Oryctolagus cuniculus: one gene and its partners. The protein of the gene in region 1 binds, or shares a complex with, the protein of each later gene. Links are inferred from orthologs where the notes say so. Each region holds a gene or a part of one and is shown in the gene's direction. Other genes may lie near its edges.

Evidence for each region.
Region 2: TAF11 (region 1) and TAF8 share a complex: the UniProt entries of both Homo sapiens proteins name them as parts of the TFIID basal transcription factor complex. The link is inferred for Oryctolagus cuniculus from reciprocal best matches to the Homo sapiens genes TAF11 and TAF8.
Region 3: TAF11 (region 1) and TAF13 share a complex: the UniProt entries of both Homo sapiens proteins name them as parts of the TFIID basal transcription factor complex. The link is inferred for Oryctolagus cuniculus from reciprocal best matches to the Homo sapiens genes TAF11 and TAF13.

The regions. Positions count from the first base shown.
Region 1 is NC_091436.1:134,548,711-134,554,865, forward strand, and holds the start of TAF11 (transcription initiation factor TFIID subunit 11), read left to right. Parts: upstream 1-2,272; 5' UTR 2,273-2,381; coding exon 2,382-2,552; intron 2,553-5,022; coding exon 5,023-5,171; intron 5,172-6,155. Other genes in the region: ANKS1A (ankyrin repeat and SAM domain-containing protein 1A), read right to left, coding at 780-973. UniProt on the Homo sapiens protein: The TFIID basal transcription factor complex plays a major role in the initiation of RNA polymerase II (Pol II)-dependent transcription.
Region 2 is NC_091436.1:127,866,914-127,872,966, reverse strand, and holds the start of TAF8 (transcription initiation factor TFIID subunit 8), read left to right. Parts: upstream 1-2,210; 5' UTR 2,211-2,228; coding exon 2,229-2,273; intron 2,274-3,040; coding exon 3,041-3,197; intron 3,198-6,053. UniProt on the Homo sapiens protein: The TFIID basal transcription factor complex plays a major role in the initiation of RNA polymerase II (Pol II)-dependent transcription.
Region 3 is NC_091438.1:61,354,670-61,360,740, forward strand, and holds the start of TAF13 (transcription initiation factor TFIID subunit 13), read left to right. Parts: upstream 1-2,228; 5' UTR 2,229-2,328; coding exon 2,329-2,355; intron 2,356-3,205; coding exon 3,206-3,284; intron 3,285-6,071. UniProt on the Homo sapiens protein: The TFIID basal transcription factor complex plays a major role in the initiation of RNA polymerase II (Pol II)-dependent transcription.

The DNA.
Region 1 (6,155 bases):
ACTCAATGACAAAGCATCTCCAATCCCCCTTCCAAGCGACACAGAACTCATTTTCCCCTCTCGAACCTCACAGCTTCGGATTCAAGTGTCCAACAACAGACCCCAGAAAATTTTAAAGCGCCCCTCCATTTCCCAACCAAGTCTTCCTAAACTTTCACTTCTTGATGAACAGACCCCAGAAGAACCCTGCAAGGAGGCTCATTACAAGGAACCACAATTCGAGCCTCAAGCACGAGAGGGGCTCCAAGACGAACTCTCCGAACGTGACCGATCCAGAGACAATTCTGATATAAACAGAAGCCAGGTTCTGCACAGCCTGGCGGAAGGCTGCAGGCTCCTGCGGGAAGGGAATCCCCTCCAGCAGAGCCGCGGCATTCTGCAAGCCGTGGGAGCTTCTGCAGGAGGTGAGGGAGGTCCCATACACACACACAGATCATTTGCTCTCAAGTGGCTTTTGTGAAGCAACGACAGCTGGCATCCCACAGCGGGCGAGGGTGACGCCGGGCTGTGCCATGCGGCGGAGCGGCCACCTGGGCACTCCCACCATTCTTCGCACCCGGGTCAGGACCGAGAGACAAGGAGAGCGGAGCGCCGCGCCAACTCGGACCCGCGCCCCCTCCGGCTTCCTGTCCCGCCGGCCGCCTGCCCTCGCTCCCCGAGTACGCCGCGAGCCCACCCCGCCGGGTCTCGGGAGCCCGACCTCTCCAGGGACCTAAAAGACGTACGGGCGGGCGGGGGGGGGGTCTCCAGGCGGCTGCCGGGCCCCGGCGCGTACCCACCTGAGCAGACTGGAGAGAGGGTGGCTGGAAGAGCCGAGGCCGCCGCCGCCGCCGCCGCCGCCGCCACTGCCCCCAGAGGAGCCGCCGCCGCCACCCCCGAAGCCTGAGGAGAGCCGCTTCCCGGACAGCAGCTTCTCCACGGCCGGGAGGTGCCCGGTGCGGGCCGCCTCCAGCAGCTCCTGCTCCTTCCCCATCCCCAGGGCCGCCACCCCAGGACCCCCCACCCCGGGGCCACCGTGGAGCCGGCTCGGCTCCCAAACTTTCCGTCTCCGGGCAACGCACCCCCTAAACCGGCCGGGGACACCACCCCCCTCCCCCCCCGCCTTTTCCCCACGAGCGCGTCACTTCCGGGATCCGGCGTCACGCGTCACCGCGCCCCCATGCCCCGCCCCCTTGCCCACCTAGCTGGGCGGGGCTCCGCGTCCCTGTGCAGGTGGACCTTGGTGTGTCAGGACAGGACTTGGGGGTCAATGGGGCAGTGCCATGTGGGTACCCATTGAAGAAGTGGAAAGGGACAAAGGGGACCCACCTGTGTACGCCTCCAAAGTGCGCTTCTTTTCCAAAGGTTTTGGGAGCTCACGGGACAGGAAATACGGTAATTCGTCCCGGCGGTGTGGAAACAAAGAGAGAAATATGGTAATACGCACCTACATTTCCAAGTCCGTTCTTTAAGCATAAAGCAGTATGTAACAGGTGCGGGAGCCTGGTAATACAGAGGTGAATAAAACGCCCTGCCCCTCCCTCCGCGTGCCTCAATGAAAAAAGGCAGGACATTTTAAAAGCAGAAATATCCTAGCCCCTTCACCATCCCAATCCGTGAAATGGCTCATTAAAGTGAAGCGCTCAAAGGAGAGACCTCCCACCCTGTAGGGATTCCTCATGATGAGACTGAGTGGGTAACAGAAGTCAGGCTTGAGAAACCTATCCCGATTTTCAGCACTGGCGAACTGGAAAAATCATTTAATTCGGTAGAAAATGTTTTTTCCCTGTACTAGCGCTGCTCCGGACTCAGAAACAGGCAGTCAACACTCGTGGAGTGAATGAATGGGTTGGATAAACACTGCTCAAGCAATAGGACTTTTTTTTTTTAAGGTGCTCGTGAAATATTCGTAGAGGGGAAATGGTGGCAATTCAATGTAAAGTCAGGCCCGCAGTCTGTCCAGGTGAAATAAAGGAGGTTGAGTCCCTGCCTGAAAGTTTGCTACCCCAAGGTTACGCGACAGCCGCGTACAAAAGGAGCAGTTTTCTCCCAGGTCCTCCAACTTTGAGGAAGAGGTTAACTGACAAAGCATTCTTAGAACGACGGAAAGGAAAAAGAAACCCTTCAGGAAGCACAACTGCACTTCTTCACAGGTGCTGGTCTCCAAGGACGGATCCACAGGGGACTTTGCACCCTCAGCGTTCTCTCTCCAGCACCACCCACCCAGGATTCAAACGGAGCCCTCAGGTGCTCCGCGCGCCCCCCATGGCCCTTCCGAGGACCAGTAGTGGTGACGACATCGCGGTGCGACGACAGGAAGTAAGCGCCCACTGTGCCGCGCGAGGTCCGGAGCTCCGCGGCCGACAGCACCGCGATCTCCTCCCCTTGCCGTTCTAGCTGTGATGGACAATGCCCGCGAGTCTCCTGCGGACAAAGGTGGGGAAGCAGGGGAGTCAGACGAGACGACTGCTGCTCCTGGGGGCCCGGGGACTGCGGACACGGACGGGATCCCGGAGGAAGCGGACGGAGACGGAGACGCGGACTTGAAAGAAGCGGCAGCGGAGGAAGGCGAGGTAGGCAGAGAAGTGTGACTGAGGTTGGAGGCATACGCCGGGATTGTGTTACCCGGAGCTCGCCACGATTCCCTCTAGATCTGCCGTCCGGGGAGTGTGGGAGGAGCAACAAAACTGTGGTGCTGGTTTGGTTCCAGAGACTCGAGCATTAGGTTTTAATATGTTTAGTCCTTGCCTTTCGGGATTAAAGCTACATCTAAGTGAATTTTAAATAGCTTCTTGGTTTTCCTATTGATGAAGTCGGTACTGTCATCCCGAGACTTAGTGCAAGAGCCAAAATCCAGGATTCCCAGCGCGCCTTTCACCGCACTATAGGTCCTCTTAGTTAATTGTTGTTTAAGTACAGCTTTCGTCTTTACAGGAGGCAGAGTTGATCAGATCTGTTAACGGGAGACTTTGAAGTCATATTCTCATCCAGCTGCTGCAGTGTCCTCCGTGCTAATGTCCAGGGGTTTCTATAACGTAAAAACACCAAATCCATCAGCTGTGCTCTCAGGATAGCTCAGCAGGGTTGCCTAACCGCGCAACAATCGCGACCAGAATCTCAGCGTCCTGTGGGTTCCTTTTCTAAAGAGAGAATTTCTAGGATCTTAGAGGCAGAAGGAACTGAAGAGCTCATGGACTGAACGTTAGATGGATAGCCTTGTCACCAAAACATACACGGTAAGCTTTTAGAAAAAGAGAAGACAGTTGACAAAGCTGAAGAAGGAAAAGTTAAAATGGGTCTCAAGGACGCAAAGGAATTGAATAATTAGCATGGTCCACTAAAGGAGCTCACTACAATATAGAAGTTTGGAGCCAGCAGAGGATAGAATTATGATGCTTTTGAAACATTTTTAAAAATTAGGCCGGCGCCGCGGCTCACTAGGCTAATCCTCCGCCTTGCGGCGCCGGCACACCGGGTTCTAGTCCCAGTCAGGGCGCCAGATTCTGTCCCGGTTGCCCCTCTTCCAGGCCAGCCCTCTGCTGTGGCCAGGGAGTGCAGTGGAGGATGGCCCAAGTCCTTGGGCCCTGCACCCCATGGGAGACCAGGAGAAGCACCTGGCTCCTGCCATCGGATCAGCGCGGTGCGCCGGCTGCAGCGCGCCGGCCGCGGCGGCCATTGGAGGGTGAACCAACGGCAAAGGAAGACCTTTCTCTCTGTCTCTCTCTCTCTCACTGTCCACTCTGCCTGTAAAAAAAAAAAAAAAAAAAAAAAAAAAAAAAAATTAATCAAAGACCAGCATTGTGGCACAGCAGGTTAAGCTACCTGCAACCCCAGAATCCCATATGGGCACTGGTTCAGTTCTGGCTGCTCCGCTTCCAGTCTAGGCCCTTGCTGATGTGCCTGGGAAGGCAGCTGAAGGTGGCCCAAGTTGAGCACCTGCACCCATGTAGGACTTCTGGCTTCCACCTGGCCCAGCCCTGGTGGTTGTGACCAATTGGGGAGTGAACTAGCAGATGGAAGAACTCTGTCTCTCCCTCTCTCTGTAACTCTGCCTTTCGATAAAAATTGATTATGTTGGGGCCAGCACTGTGGATTAGCTTTAAATATGTAACATAATGCATGTAAGTATGTAAAATATTTATTAATATTCTTTAAGTCAGAATCACAAAGTTGGGGGTGGGGGGTGGGGAGTGAGCAAGCTTCCATCTGCCTGTTCATTCCCCCAAATGGTCACAGTGGCTAGAGCTGGGCCAGGCTGAAGCCAGGAGTCAGTAGCTTCTTCCAGGTCTCCCACATGGGTGCAGGGGCCCAAGGACTTGGGCCATCTTTGGGCCATCTTCTGCTGCTTTCCCAAGCACATTAGCAGGGAGCTGGATCAGAAGTAGAGCAGCCAGGACTTGAACTGGCACTCATATGAGATGCCAGTGCTGCAGACAGCAGCTTAACCCACTATGCCACAGCATTGGCCCCTACATATTTTTGATTTTCAAAGAATGTACTTATTAGAAAAAAAAAATGGCCTATCTGCTGATTCACACTCCAAATGCCCAAAACAGCTCAGACACTCTAATAGGGGACATGGACATCCCAACCAGCATCTCAGATTTTCACTCCAGGGCCTCCTTTTTAATAATCTTTCTAAATTGAATCGTCAATAGTAAAAATATCTTTGGATCCAGAGGAGAAGAGCTGGCTGGCTGGAGAGGGCTTTGGTGACATCCCCTGTAAGGAATGAGCAGGAGAGAGAGTCCATGGAGAGAGTGGTTTTCATGATCTTGGCCATTTCTTTATCCTTGTATACAGACACTGAAGCTGTGATCATAGCTAAACTGGAAAACTAGATTATTTAACTGGTTCTTTCTACAGCCTAACTAACCTTCCTTGAGGAGAGATACTGTATCTTATACTGGGTGGAACAGTCAGTTCTGGGACAAAAAAACTACACAATAAGTGGATCTGTTGTGTTATGAGGATGATGTCTTAACCTTAGCCAAGCCTGGAAAGTAGGACAAATATATAATAGAGTTCTTTTCATCTTCCCAGCTCAAAAGTCAGGACGTCTCCGATTTAACAGCAGGTGAAAGGGAAGACGCGTCATTACTTACTCCTGCAGCCAAAAAACTGAAAATCGATACCAAAGAAAAGAAAGAGAAGAAGCAGAAAGTGGATGAAGATGAGATTCAGAAGATGCAGTAAGTCTCTTTTTGTTCCTTCCCCTTTTCAGAGCTCCAGCCTGACCACACAAATTTAATAAATTTGTCTTGGCCTCTACATTTCTAACTCAAGAGGAAATAAACTAATTAATACATTGTTATAGTATAGAAAATGTGAATAAGTAAAAAGAAAACTCATCGCCCTGCCACCAAGAGGTATATACTGCCAATACTTTAATGTATATGATCCCAGGTGTTTTCTCTACACATATAACTTATAAAATTAATAAGTTTTTACAAGGTTTTTGTTTTGTTTTGCAAAATGTCAAATACTGGAGCCAGCATTGTGACACAGTGGCCTAAGCTGCTGCTTGCAACTCTGGCATCCCATTCTGCAGTGTCAGTTTGGGTCCTGGCTGCTCCACTCCCATCCAGCTCCTGCTAATGGAAGGCAGCAGATGCCCCGAGTACTTGGACTCGCTGCCACTCATGTGGGAGAGCAGGAAGGAGTTCTTGGTGCCTGGCTTCCACCTGGCCCAGACCTGGCTCTTGTGGCCATTTGGGGAGTGAACCAGTAAATGGAAGATCTCTCTGCCTTTCAAATAAATAAATAAATCTTTTTTAAAAATAAAAGTCCTATTTCATAACCTGCTTTTCCTATTATATATGGCATTTCTCATATCAACAGTTCTACCTCTAGGACATAATTTTTGTGAAAATGGAAATAGCTTTATTATATTTTCTGATTATAAAAGTGGTGTTAGCTCATTATAAATATAGAAAAAATTAATGCTATCGCAGCATTTACTCTAAGTATATATGTTTGGGTACAATAAATTGGGCATATACTTTTTCAGATTTTCAACAGTGGTTGGTGTATACAGCTAAATATTTTCCTATCAGCAGATACACCCATGAATCTTCATTTTTAATAGCTGCCATTTGTCCCATTATGTGGCTCAGCTGGAATGTAACCAATCCTGTAACTATGCGGGTTGAGTCTTTTCCTTTTACAACATTTTG
Region 2 (6,053 bases), about 6.7 Mb from region 1:
ACGGAGAGCGGCCACGCACACAGGTGCCGCAGGGATTCCTCAGTGCCTGCGCCAGGAATGAGCGCGGAGCATCTGCCGGGAAGCAATGGAGATCCACCTCCCCACTGACGTCTGCTCCCACGGGGAACAGAGACAGGGGGGAGGGGGGGTGTTTCAGAGGGCCAGCACCTGCCAGAGGAAACAGCTCGGAGCCCAGGTGTGGGGGGCGCTGCACCAGCTGGACATTATTGGCTGTTTGGGAACCAGCCCAGACATCTGCCTTTCCTCGAATTCATCCCCACCTCCTCTTCATACCTGGGCAGTGCGCTAGAGAGAGCAGTTGCTGCTGGGTCACCACGTAGCCCACAGCGGAGTGCAGTCCAGTTCTGTGGGATGAGCAGTGCCCCCAGTCTTCCCACTAACGTCCCTACCCAGCGATCTGTCCATCCTTCCTTCCGAATCCAGCTCAAAGCTCCCTTTCTCCCTGACGCTTCGCGCCGCCCTGGGCACGTCCCCGGGCTGTGCTGTGGCTGTGGATGCGCACTCCCGCACTCTCGGCACCCCACACAGAGCCGGCGCACGGCCCACGCTCGGCCCCTCCGTGCCCCCTGCCTTACACCGGCTTCTGCGGTGACTCCTCGGGTTAACACTCAGACACACCGCCGACGCGCAAACTCTCCCCTGTGCACCCATCAGAGGCGACGGCGGGACAAACAGTGGCCTCCCCCGGCCTCGGTCTCTCGCGCCCCGCTCTGGGGTAGGAAGAACGGGAACAGCCCAGGGAAGCGCCCTCGCTCCCAGGTCCGCTTAAGGGGGCGGCGGTGAGCGCAGAGGCGCAAGGGCTTCTCCGCCCTTCGAGTACACGCGAAGCGGCGCGCGCGTCCTGGGAGCGCAAAGGGGCCCGGCTGAGGGGCCGCCAGGGAGGTGCTGACGGCGCGGAGACCCCCAACCCAACCTCTGGCGACCCCCCCCCCCGGCCGCTCAGGATATCTAGCGTGAACCGCGAAGCCCCAGGGCCAGGGGGTGATGCCCACATCGCCTCTCCCCGCTGCGCCAGCCCCCAAGCCTACCTCGTGGGCAGGTGAGTCCCGCGGAGCACCCGGGGTGGCCGCACACGCGCTCCCCCGCCGCCTCTGGCCTCGGTCTTCGGGAAGTGGCGGGGGGCTGGGGTGGGGGTGGTCGCAGCCCGCAGCCGCGGCGAGGCAGCGCACCCCGTCCCCAGGCGCCCAAACAGACCCAGGCTCCGCCCCCGCGACCGCGGCGTGTTTACAAAGTCGGCGGATCCCGAGTTTGAAGCTGGGCAGGAAGTGGGGAAGAGGGGGCGGGGGAGACAAAGGGGCTGGGGCGCGGCTCCGCGCAGCCCGGGTGCCGACCCCCGCCGGCCCCGCCCCGCGCGCCCTAGGTAGGGGACGGGGCCCCGGCGGGCTCAGGTGCGCACGGCCAGCAGGCGCCTAGCGGGGCCCGCCAGCGCGCGCGACCCAGGAAGCCCACCACACAGTGGGGCAACTGGCTGCACGTCGGGCACCGGGACAGTCCCCTGCCGTCGTTACCTGGTTGTCCCCTCGGCCGTCAGCACCCCTCCACCCCCAGATTCACAGAAAAGGAGACTGACGCACAGAGCGGTTAGGTATTGTGCCCAAACTCCTGCAGCCGCCGAGGGCTGGGACCCAAGCCCAGCGTCCGTGCCCTGCCAAGGCGCAGGCGCGGCGTGGACCCTCGACACACACCCCCCCCCCAAGACCCTCGGCGGCCACGCGGACGCGACGCTCGAGGACTGAGGCAGGCCCGGAGCAGGCACGCCCATCCCCAAGGGGTCCACGGACGGCCGCACAAAATCACGAGATCAGATGCCCCAGGGTTTCCCAAGAGGACCCAGGGAGCTTGGTAACCAAATCCCCAAGCCCCTTTCCCACGGTGGGGTCACTAGGACCGCGCTGGGCCCAGCCAGGTGTGGCTAATAACCAGAGACGTTTGGAGAAACCCTGCCAGTGTAGACTACCTCCTGGATCCTTCCTCATCAGAAACGATTCACTATTAAAACAGGCTTATTTTAATTCGCGTAAACCAAGATAGCATTTTCGCACCCCCCCCCCAAGCCCACACACTTCGCATACAAATGGTCACGTGCGCACCCCCACCCAGCGAGGCTTCGGAAAACCGGGAGGAGCGTGCGCGCGCCCCGCCCACCCCCGCCCCGTGACTACAAGTCCCATCGCGCCCCGCGCTCACGCACGTTACGCCAGGGCAAGATGGCCGACACGGCGGCCGCTGCCGGGGCTGGCGGCTCCGGAACGGTAAGGGGTAGAAGCGCGGGCCCGGCGCTGAGAGAGTTGGGGTACTCTGCAACTTTCCCCTGGCCTGGGCAGCAGGCTTATGCCCAGCTATCCCGCCCCAGCGTGGGCTGCGACCGGAGGAGGGCCCCTCAGGCTGTGCGCGCCCACCCCTCTGAGGGACTTGGCGGCGGCCTCCTGAGTTGGTGAACCTGTGTCCTGATTGGTTTGCTCGGTTGGGAACCCGGAACATCTCCTGATTGGTCCAGAGAGGACTGTTTCGCCTCTTCATTGGCCAGGCAGAGCTGGGCGGGATTCCTGCTTCAAAATATTGAGCTTCCCTACCAAGGCGTGCTGTGGTCTTTCGCCCTCTCCTCGGCTCCGTGTGATGTTATTGCTTTAATTCTCCTTGCTAATGAAACGGTGTGGAAGTGGGATGACGAACGATAGAGACCCCGTTTACTTTTCTCCCGGGAGCTAGGTTTAATTGAGTCCCGTCACGAGTGTTTCTTCCGCTGTGCTGATAATGTGCGGGAGTAGAGAGTGTGGGAAAAACAAGAAACACACAGAACAGGAAACCCCAGCCATTTTGCATTATAGCGCCTTAGGTTTGGGGGATGCCGATGGTCTCTGGGAGGGGCCCTCCGGCTCGGTTTTCGCTCGGTCGGCCAAGATTTGCAGGTCGCAGCGCTGGTGTTTAGCACGGGACGCGCGCTTGCCGTGAACGATCCGGGGACTGCTCGCTGCCCTCTTGTCCCGGGGGTGACACTGCTCTCCCTGCCGGTTCCCAGAGGTCGGGGAGCAAACAGTCCACCAACCCTGCCGACAACTACCACCTGGCCCGGAGGAGAACCCTGCAGGTGGTCGTGAGCTCTCTGCTGACGGAGGCCGGGTTTGAGAGCGCAGAGAAGGCGTCCGTGGAAACCCTGACGGAGATGCTGCAGAGCTGTGAGTACCGGGCAGCGGCGGGCCCCGTCCCTTCTGCGCCCTGCGTTGTGACGGCGGCGGAGGGGAGAGACTTCAGGCTTTCCAGCCACGCAGCCCGGGCTGGAAATCGTCCCCCTGCCACTGCGTAGCGCCAGCAGCTCGCTCACCCTCTTGAACCTCAACGCCCTCCTTTGTGGAGTGGGGTAGTAATTGAGGCGCGCGGGGTTGTGAGTACGGCAGTCAAAGCTGGGGGGCTGCACGCTGTCGAGGACTTGGAGCCCTCATTATTGCTGTTTTGCTCTCTCTTCTGGGAGGACTCACACCTTCGTGGGGTGGGGGGAGTGTCAGGACTAACGCCCTGGAATAGATGCTAGTACATTAGTAAGGAGGTGCTGTATTATGTGATAGAATGAGGGTATGTTGACTAGAATAGGGAAAAACAACTTTTTATTAAGAAAAAAAAAGATTTATTTATTTATTTGCATGGCAGAGTTACAGAGAGGCAGAGGCAGAGAGAGAGGTCTTCCATCTGCTGGTTCACTCTCCAGATGTCTGCAATGGCCAGAGCTGGGCTGATACGAAGCCAGGAGCCAGGAGCTTCTTCCAGGTCTCCCATGCAGGTGCAGGGGCCCAGGGACTTGGGCCATCTTCTGCTTTCCCAGATCATAACTGAGAGCTGGATTGGAAGTGGAGCAGCTGAGACTCAAACTGGTGCGCATATGGGACGCCGGCACTACAGGCAGCGGCTTTACCCGCTACGCCACAGCACTCTGGCCCTGAAAAACAACTTTTAAGGGATTGCTGAGCCTTAGGAGCCTGTTGTGGCCTGTTTAAAATTTCTTAGGGGCTAGAATTGGACAAGGGGTGTTGGGGGATTCCTACAGTATTTCTTAGGGACCAGCACCTGTGAAAAGAAGTAGAAGAACTGAAGTGCAGTGCAGACCCAACAAAGAGCTGGCCAACAGGTGGGCGTCCTTGGAGCGGCTGTCGTCTGCCAAGGAGAAAAGGCCCCGCCTTTGTGCCCAGGTCTCGATCAGACCCAGATGTGTGCTGCCCTGAGTAGGGTGTGACCCTGGGTGGAGCCACTTTCTGCAGCTGATTTTAGAAACTTTTTTTTAATATTACTTTTAAATATATTTATTTATTTAAAAGGCAGAGAGGGAGACAGACAGAGATCTCTCAACTGCTGGTTCACTCTCCAAATGCCCACCACTGCCAGGGCTGGGCCAGGCTGAACCCAGGAGCCAGGGACTCCGCCCAGGCCTTTCGCATGAGTGGCAGTGAGCCGAGTTCCAGAGCCCTCACTCGCCGCCTCCCAGAGTGTGTGTTGGCAGGAGGCTGAAACTGGGAGCAGAGCCAGGACTTGGAACCCCGGCACTCCAGTGTGTGCTTGTGGGCATCCCAACTGGCATCTTAACCACTGTGCCACACGCCTGCCCCTTGAACTTCTAATACCAGATGTTTTCCTAAACCTGTGACCTCACACTTCTTGGTCTCAGAACCACTTTCAGACTCAAATATTGAGGATCCCCAAGAGCTTTTATATGTGTACAAAATATGTTATACATATGCTATACATATGCATAATACTTAGGTATATATAGCATGTGCCTATATTTGCCAGATTTGAAAATAAAATTCTAAAATGTAAGGATATACAGTCACACATTCCGTTATTCATCAGAGTGGTGATGTCATCCGAAGTCATATAACCCTGGAAAAGTACATGAGAGAATGACAGTAAAAAAGTCAAATAATGACTTAATTTTGTTAAGAAAATAATTTTGACTTGTAGGGGCTGGTGCTGTGGCATAGCGGGTAAAACCACCGCCTACAATGCAGCATTCCATATGGGCGCTGGTTGAAGTCCCGCCTGCTCCACTTCCAATCCAGCTCTCTGCCTGGCCTGGGGAAGCAGTAGAAGATGGCCCAAGTCCTTGGGCCCCTGAACCCATGTGGGAGACCTGGAAGAAGCTCCTGGCTTCAGATTGGCACAGCTCCAGCCATTGCAGCCATCTGGAGAGTGAACCAGCAGATGGAAGATCGATCTCTCTCTCTCTCTCTCTCTCTCTGCCTCACTTTCTCTCTCTCTGTAACTCTGACTTTCAACTAAATAAATAAATCTTTTAAAAAGTAACCATTTTGACCTGTAGACTCTGGAAAAGATTTGGGAGACTGCCAGGGGTTTCCGGACTGCACTTTGACAACTTTGGCCCCCAAAAATGAACTAATAATTCCCAACCAAAAAAAGAATTCCGTTCTTGAGAAGATCTTGGAATTGAGAGTGTGAAGGTTCTGTCTAGAGACTGGTGTCAGTGACTGGCTCAGGCGGCAGCAGTTGGGATAGGTTTCAGGTAGACTTTGTGCTTCTAATGCTTTTATCTTATGAGCAGCTGGGTCCCTGGGACAGGGTCTCCTTATCTTTTGGGATCCATTTCTTCTCTGAATGAAACCTGTGCGCTCGTCCCCAGAGAGAGACTTTTCCTGTGCATTGAATTCAGCGCTGTGGGGCCAGTGCTGTGGCATAGCTGGGTAGGCTGCCTGCAGTGCTGGTATCCCATTTGGGTACATGTTCAATTCCTGGCTGCTCCACTTCTGATCCAGCTCTCCACTAATGCACCTGGGAAAGCAGCGGAGGGTGGCCCAAGTGCTTCAGCCCTTTCGCCTACGTGGGAGACCTGGAAGAAGCTCCTGGCTCCTAGCTTTGGCCATGAGCCGGCCCCGGCCATTGTGCCCATCTGGGGAGTGAACCAGTGGTTAAATTTCTCTCCCTCTCTTTCTCTCACTCTCTCCCTCTCTCTTTTCCCTCTCTCTCTCTGTAACTCTGCCTTTCAAATAATTAAATAAAACCTTTAAAAAAATAAATGAATTCATCCT
Region 3 (6,071 bases), on another chromosome or scaffold:
CTATCTACCCACATAATTAAGAACATATACAGGGGCTGGTGCTGCAGCGAAACGGGTTAAGCCACTGCATGCAGTGCGGGCATCTCATATGGGTGCTGCTCTACTTCCCATCTAGCTCCCTTCTAGTGTGCCTGGGAAAGCAGTGGAAGATGGCCCAAATGCTTCGGCCCCTGCATCCACATAGGAAACTCAGAATAAGCTCCTGGTTCCTGGCTTTGGAGTGAACCAACAGATGGAAAATCTCTCTATCTCTCCTCTTTTTCTCTGTGACTCGGATTTTCAAATAAATAAATAAATAAATAAATCTTTTTTTTTTTTCTTTTAAAGGTAGGGCTAGAGAAAGAGAGAGAGACAAAGTGCTGGTTCACCCTCTAAATAGCCACAACAACCAGAGCTGAGTCATTCTGAGGCCATGAGCCAGGAGCTTCTTCTGGGTCTCCCACACCGGTGCAGGACCCAAACACTTGGGCCCTACGTCATTGCCTTTCCAAGCTGTAAGCAGAGAGCTGGATTGGAAAAGGAGCAGCTGGACATGAACCAGCGCCCATATGGGATTCTGGTGCCACAGACGGAGGCTTAGCCTACTGGCTAAGTGCCTGCCCAATCAAATTAAATCTTAAAAAAAAAAAAAAAATACAAGGTTGGTTCTGGTGCTGTGGCATAGTGGGTAAAGTTACCTCCTTGCAGTGCAGGCATCTCATATAGGCTCCCAGTTGCTGCACTTCCGAACCAACTCCTTGCTAATGTGCCTGGGAAAACAGCAGATGGCCCAAGTGCTTGGGCCCCTGCACCCATTTGGGAGATCCAGAAGCAGCTCCTGGCTCCTGGCTTCAGATTGGCTCAGCTCCTGCCATTGCGGCCATTTGGGGAAACCTCTCTCTCTCTTTCTCTGCCTTTCAAATAAATAAATAAATCTTTAAAAAATACAATGTGGCAAAATGCTGAAAATTGTTAAATCCTGAAACTAAAATGAGAACTTATCAAAAAATGCCCAAATAAGAAATAAATATAAAAGAATCTATTAATATGTTTTTTTTATTTTTTTTATTTTATTTATTTATTTTTTTGACAGGCAGAGTGGACAGTGAGAGAGAGAGACAGAGAGAAAGGTCTTCCTTTGCCGTTGGTTCACCCTCCAATGGCCGCCGCGGCCGGCGCGCTGCGACCGGCGCACCGCACCGGTCCGATGGCAGGAGCCAGGAGCCAGGTGCTTTTCCTGGTCTCCCATGGGGTGCAGGGCCCAAGCACCTGGGCCATCCTCCACTGCACTCCCTGGCCACAGCAGAGAGCTGGCCTGGAAGAGGGGCAACCGGGACAGAATCCGGCGCCCCGACCGGGACTAGAACCCGGTGTGCCGGCGCCGCAAGGCGGAGGATTAGCCTAGTGAGCCGCGGCGCCGGCCTATTAATATGTTTTTAACACGTAAATTCTCAGGCATGACAACACAGGAGGTATAATAACAATGTGGTTGCTTGTACCTAGATGTAAATTTACCTCGAATGTAGGAACTACAAATGTAGGCAGATTCCAGGTGAGCACTATTTAAATTACAAGCGATATTGCCTTTGGTGGCAGTATTTCCTCTTAATAAGTTCCAAACAAAGCAAAATGCAACAGATCACCAATTTTGAAGAAGTAACAGTCACAGGAAATCCAATGTTCATTAAAAGCATGGGAAAAATAGTTTATATAAAATAATATTTTCAGTCATTGAATGTTCAGCAGGACATAGAGAAATCGTGTGTATTATTGGACTTTTTTATCGTGTGGCATCATCCCTTAGGTTGCAGGATATTTTATGTCAACTCCAGCCTCTTACTGCGTGTTCTCATTGTTAAAACCCAAATTCTTCTCCAGAAAATTTTAAATCGTCTCTAAGGATAGCGCCCCCTTGAGAACTAGTAGTGAAATATAGTACCCCACAATAATTAACAAAGTGCTTGGGATCAATAGTGCAGGCGTAACTCATTGCACTTTAAAATACACCCCTCAGAGCAAGACCGCGGGATCGCCCTCCTACGCTCCAGGTCAGGAAAGGTGGATTCAACACGCACAAGGAGATGTAGGGTGATAAGAGGATACACACTGCCTGGTGCATTTCTTTCAGTTTGCTAAATTTTAGTTCCTTCCTCGGGATTACAGAACCCAGAGCTCACGCTGCTACCCTACAGACCGTCTCTCTCAGCGGTCGCTAGGCAGCTCCCCCTCCCAGGCGTGTTTGCGGGGACCCGGCCCCGCCCCCTACGTCACCGGAAGTGACGCAACGGAAGTAGTAAAAACCCGCTGAGAGCGAGCCGGCGCGGCACAGTAGGTTGTCGGGCTAGTGTAATGGCAGATGAGGAAGAAGATCCCACCGTGAGTGACCGCCTTTGTCCCAATCCTCCCTTTCGCTCAGGCTTAGTGACGGAAGCAGAGTTCAGAATGGGGTGTTTTCCTTAGTGAATTCAGTCGAGAGAGTTCGGGGACCAGTTGTGCTTGTCTTTTCCTTCAGCTTCATGGTTTTAGTACTCCGGGGCAGGACGTGAAGTAGTGGGAAGGTAGCCCCTTTCCCTTCGGATTCGGGCTGAATCTGCTAGACACTTTGTGAAACTAGACGATCGTCAGAGCTAATCACTCGTATTTGTTGGTGCTCGTTAAATGAACCAACAATCTAGCTGCTAACAGAATTGGATATTTATTGTGAAGTGTTGGAGAAATAACGGACCACAAATCAGAAGCCTGGATTTCAAAATCTCCATTCTCACCGAACAAGTTATTTAACTTTCAGCATCGGTTGTTCTTGATATAAAATAAGGTTAAAACAGATAAGGAAAGGTTTTAGCACTGTATAAGCAGGTGCTTAGTTAAAATTTTTCCTTTTTTGCTGCAGGGAGGTAGGCTTTGATTCAGTATCGGTCCTTGAATGGCAACACTGGCTAGCAGTAGACCAACTTAGTTGGTTTTAAACAAAAAGAACTTGCGGCTGTTAAAAGGCTTACGTGTCTAGGCAGGATTGTTGTGGACAGTGTAGAAACCATTTTTGCGGGAATTGAAATTTTGACTAGGTAGTCTCTAAGGGCTCTTTAGTGCTAAGTTATCATGATTTTTTAGTGCTTGCTTTTAAGCGTTTTGGCCTGATATTAGTGTTAAAAATGAAAGCAAGTTATTAAAATATCAAATGCAATGCAATCACTTGACATTTCTATATATACATTTTAACTTCTAGTTTGAGGAAGAAAATGAAGAAATTGGAGGAGGTGCAGAAGGTGGACAGGGTAAAAGAAAGAGACTCTTTTCTAAAGAATGTAAGTAGTATTTGACAGTGATTTTATTATAGATCATGCAAACTTTTGGACATGTCCTTTGGAATAGATTTATATTCTGAAAATGTTTGCAAGGATAATATTCTCAAAATTGCCAGTAAAGTTCAATTTAATTTTTGCCTTTTTTTAAAAGATTTATTTTTATTTTATTTGAAAGAGTTACAGAGTGAGGCAGAGTCAGAGAGAGAGGTAGGTCTTCCATCCTGTGGTTCACTCCCCAGATGGCCGCAATGGCTGGAGCTGTGCCGATCCGAAGCCAGGAGCCAGGAGCTTCTTCCATGCGGGTGCAGGGGCCCAAGGACTTGTGCCATCTTCTACTACTTTCCCAGGCCATAGCAGAGAGCTGGATCGGAAGAGGAGCAGCCAGGACTAGAACCGGTGCCCATATGGGATGCCAGCGCTTCAGGCCTGAGCTTTAACCTGCTGCGCCACAGCACCAGCCCCTCAGTTTAATTTTTGAATCACAGATACTAACCCCAGTTTAACGTATAATTGTGTTTTAAATTGTACAGAATTTAAGTGAGGGAATATTGTTATGTCTTTCTGTTAGGCTGTCACAAAAACACACCAAACTCCGGAGTAAGGGAAAGGGTTTATTGAGAAAAGCCAGCAGACCGGAAGGGTGAGGTGATGAAGGGAAAAAGGGAGAGGAGAGTATAAGAGAAAGAGACACGGAGAGTAGAGGAGCTAGTGAGGAGAGAAGAGAGACGAGAGGAGCCAAGAGAACAGGAGAGAAGAGCCAAGAGTGCCGCCTGTTCAGGAACAGGCCCTTTTAAACTTTGCCAGAGGGCGGGCAGGGAAACAGGAGCAGCGAATCCCGTTAGGATGGGGGTGGAGCTTGACACTGGTGGTTGGGCCATGTGGCTACATGGCTTTCAGCAATGGCTGTGAGAACCGGGGCATAGGATGTAAATCATGGTGTAGATAGCGCCATGGATAAAACTGCACCAGTTTCCTAACAAATATGATCAGTGTTTCAATTCAGGACAAAACAATATACCTCCACGTTTTCCTGGCCCTTACCTTTGCAACAGTAGAAGCAGGAGTTCTTTTGACTGTGGGCACTGAAACAGGTGCTGAGGGTAGGGGCTAAGTTGAGACTTTGGACTAAGGGCAGTGAACAGGGCAGGAAGGTGAGGAACAATGTGAGACATACAATGGCATGAAGATAATATAATGTGTTAGTGCTTTGTCCCACTCCCTCAGTAGACAGATTTTACCCTTTTTAGACAGCAGCATGAAGAAAGGAGATCTGTTCCTACTGCTGATAGTCCAGGACAACATTTAAAAGTCATCATGAGAATAGCTTTTTATCTCCCAGTACGGATTCCTTTATATCTATATAGCTGGGTATTGAGAGATGAGACAACACAGATTTAAGAATACCTGTTTATTAAGGTTGGGACAGATACGAGCAGTTTACATGTGATGTTAAAACTGCACATCAGTATGTCTTTTTTATTTGAAATTTATTTGAAAGGCAGAGTGACAGAAAAAGACAGAGATCTTCCATCTGATGGTTCGCTCATGCCCACAACAGCTGAGGCTTGGCTAGGCCAGGCGGATGCCAGTTGCCCAGAATGCCATTTGGGTCTCTTACATGGGTGGCAGTGGCCACAGTACCTGAGCCATCACCTGCTGCCTTCCAGAATCACAGCAGCAGGAAGCTGGATTCGAAGTAGAGTAGATGGGAGTCAAACAAGCACTCTGATGTGGAATGTCAGCCAAGGGTTGTGGGTGTCCCAAACTGGGCCCAACCTGCCACGCCACAATACCCACACCATGTTTTTTTTTTTTTTTTTTAACATTTATTTGAAATGCTGGGTTAGAGAGAGAGAGAATCTTCCATCCACTGGTTAACTCCCCAAATGGCCAGAACAGCTGGAACTGGCAGGTCTGAAGCCAGGAGCCTAGAAATTCTTTTGGGTCTCCCACATGGTTGTGGGGGCCCAAGCATTTGGATCGTCTTTCTTTACTTTCCCAGGTCATTAGCAGGGAGCTGGATTGGAAGTGGAGCAACCGAGTCTCGAACTGGTGCCCATATGGGATGGTGGCACTGCAAGCAGTGGTTTAACCTACTGTGCCATAGTGCCAGTCTACCGCCATATTTCTTTTTAATTGTAACCTTTTTCTGTATCTCACCTAAAGCTGAACATTGCTTATCCCATCTCTCTGATAATATTTATTACATTTGTATTACATTTTACTTACTTTACCAACGTAAGAAAGAGATCACTACTCCAGAGTATCTCGAAGTGATGCTTGCACAGTTGGTTATTAGCAAAGACCTTTGTTATACTTGGATTACTTTATCTTTATGATGACAAGAATTTGGAATTTTCATACTCTTCTCCATGTCTTATGAGTCTTCATATATCTTACTGAGATCTGTTTGCCACCAGAGGTGGGAAATGTCCAGGTGTGTGACATCTTTTGGTGTGGCCTGGCCAAGACAACCACAGGCAGGACTCAAAATTCAATCTACCTATATATAAAGATTCAGCAAATTGTAGCAGGCTAATTTCTAAGTTGATAGTTTTTATGGCCTGCAAATGATGTTATAAATATCCAAATGGCTCTTCACAGAGAAAAGATTCCGCACTCCTCTTTTTAAAGAAAATAATTTTTAAAGTGAGATTTATTTACTTATTTATTTGAAAGTCAGAATGACAAAGAGAGAAAGAACCAGCATCTGCTGGTTCACTCTTCAAATGGCAGCAACAGACAGGTCTGCCCCAGACCAAATCCAGGAGCCACGAATTCCATCCT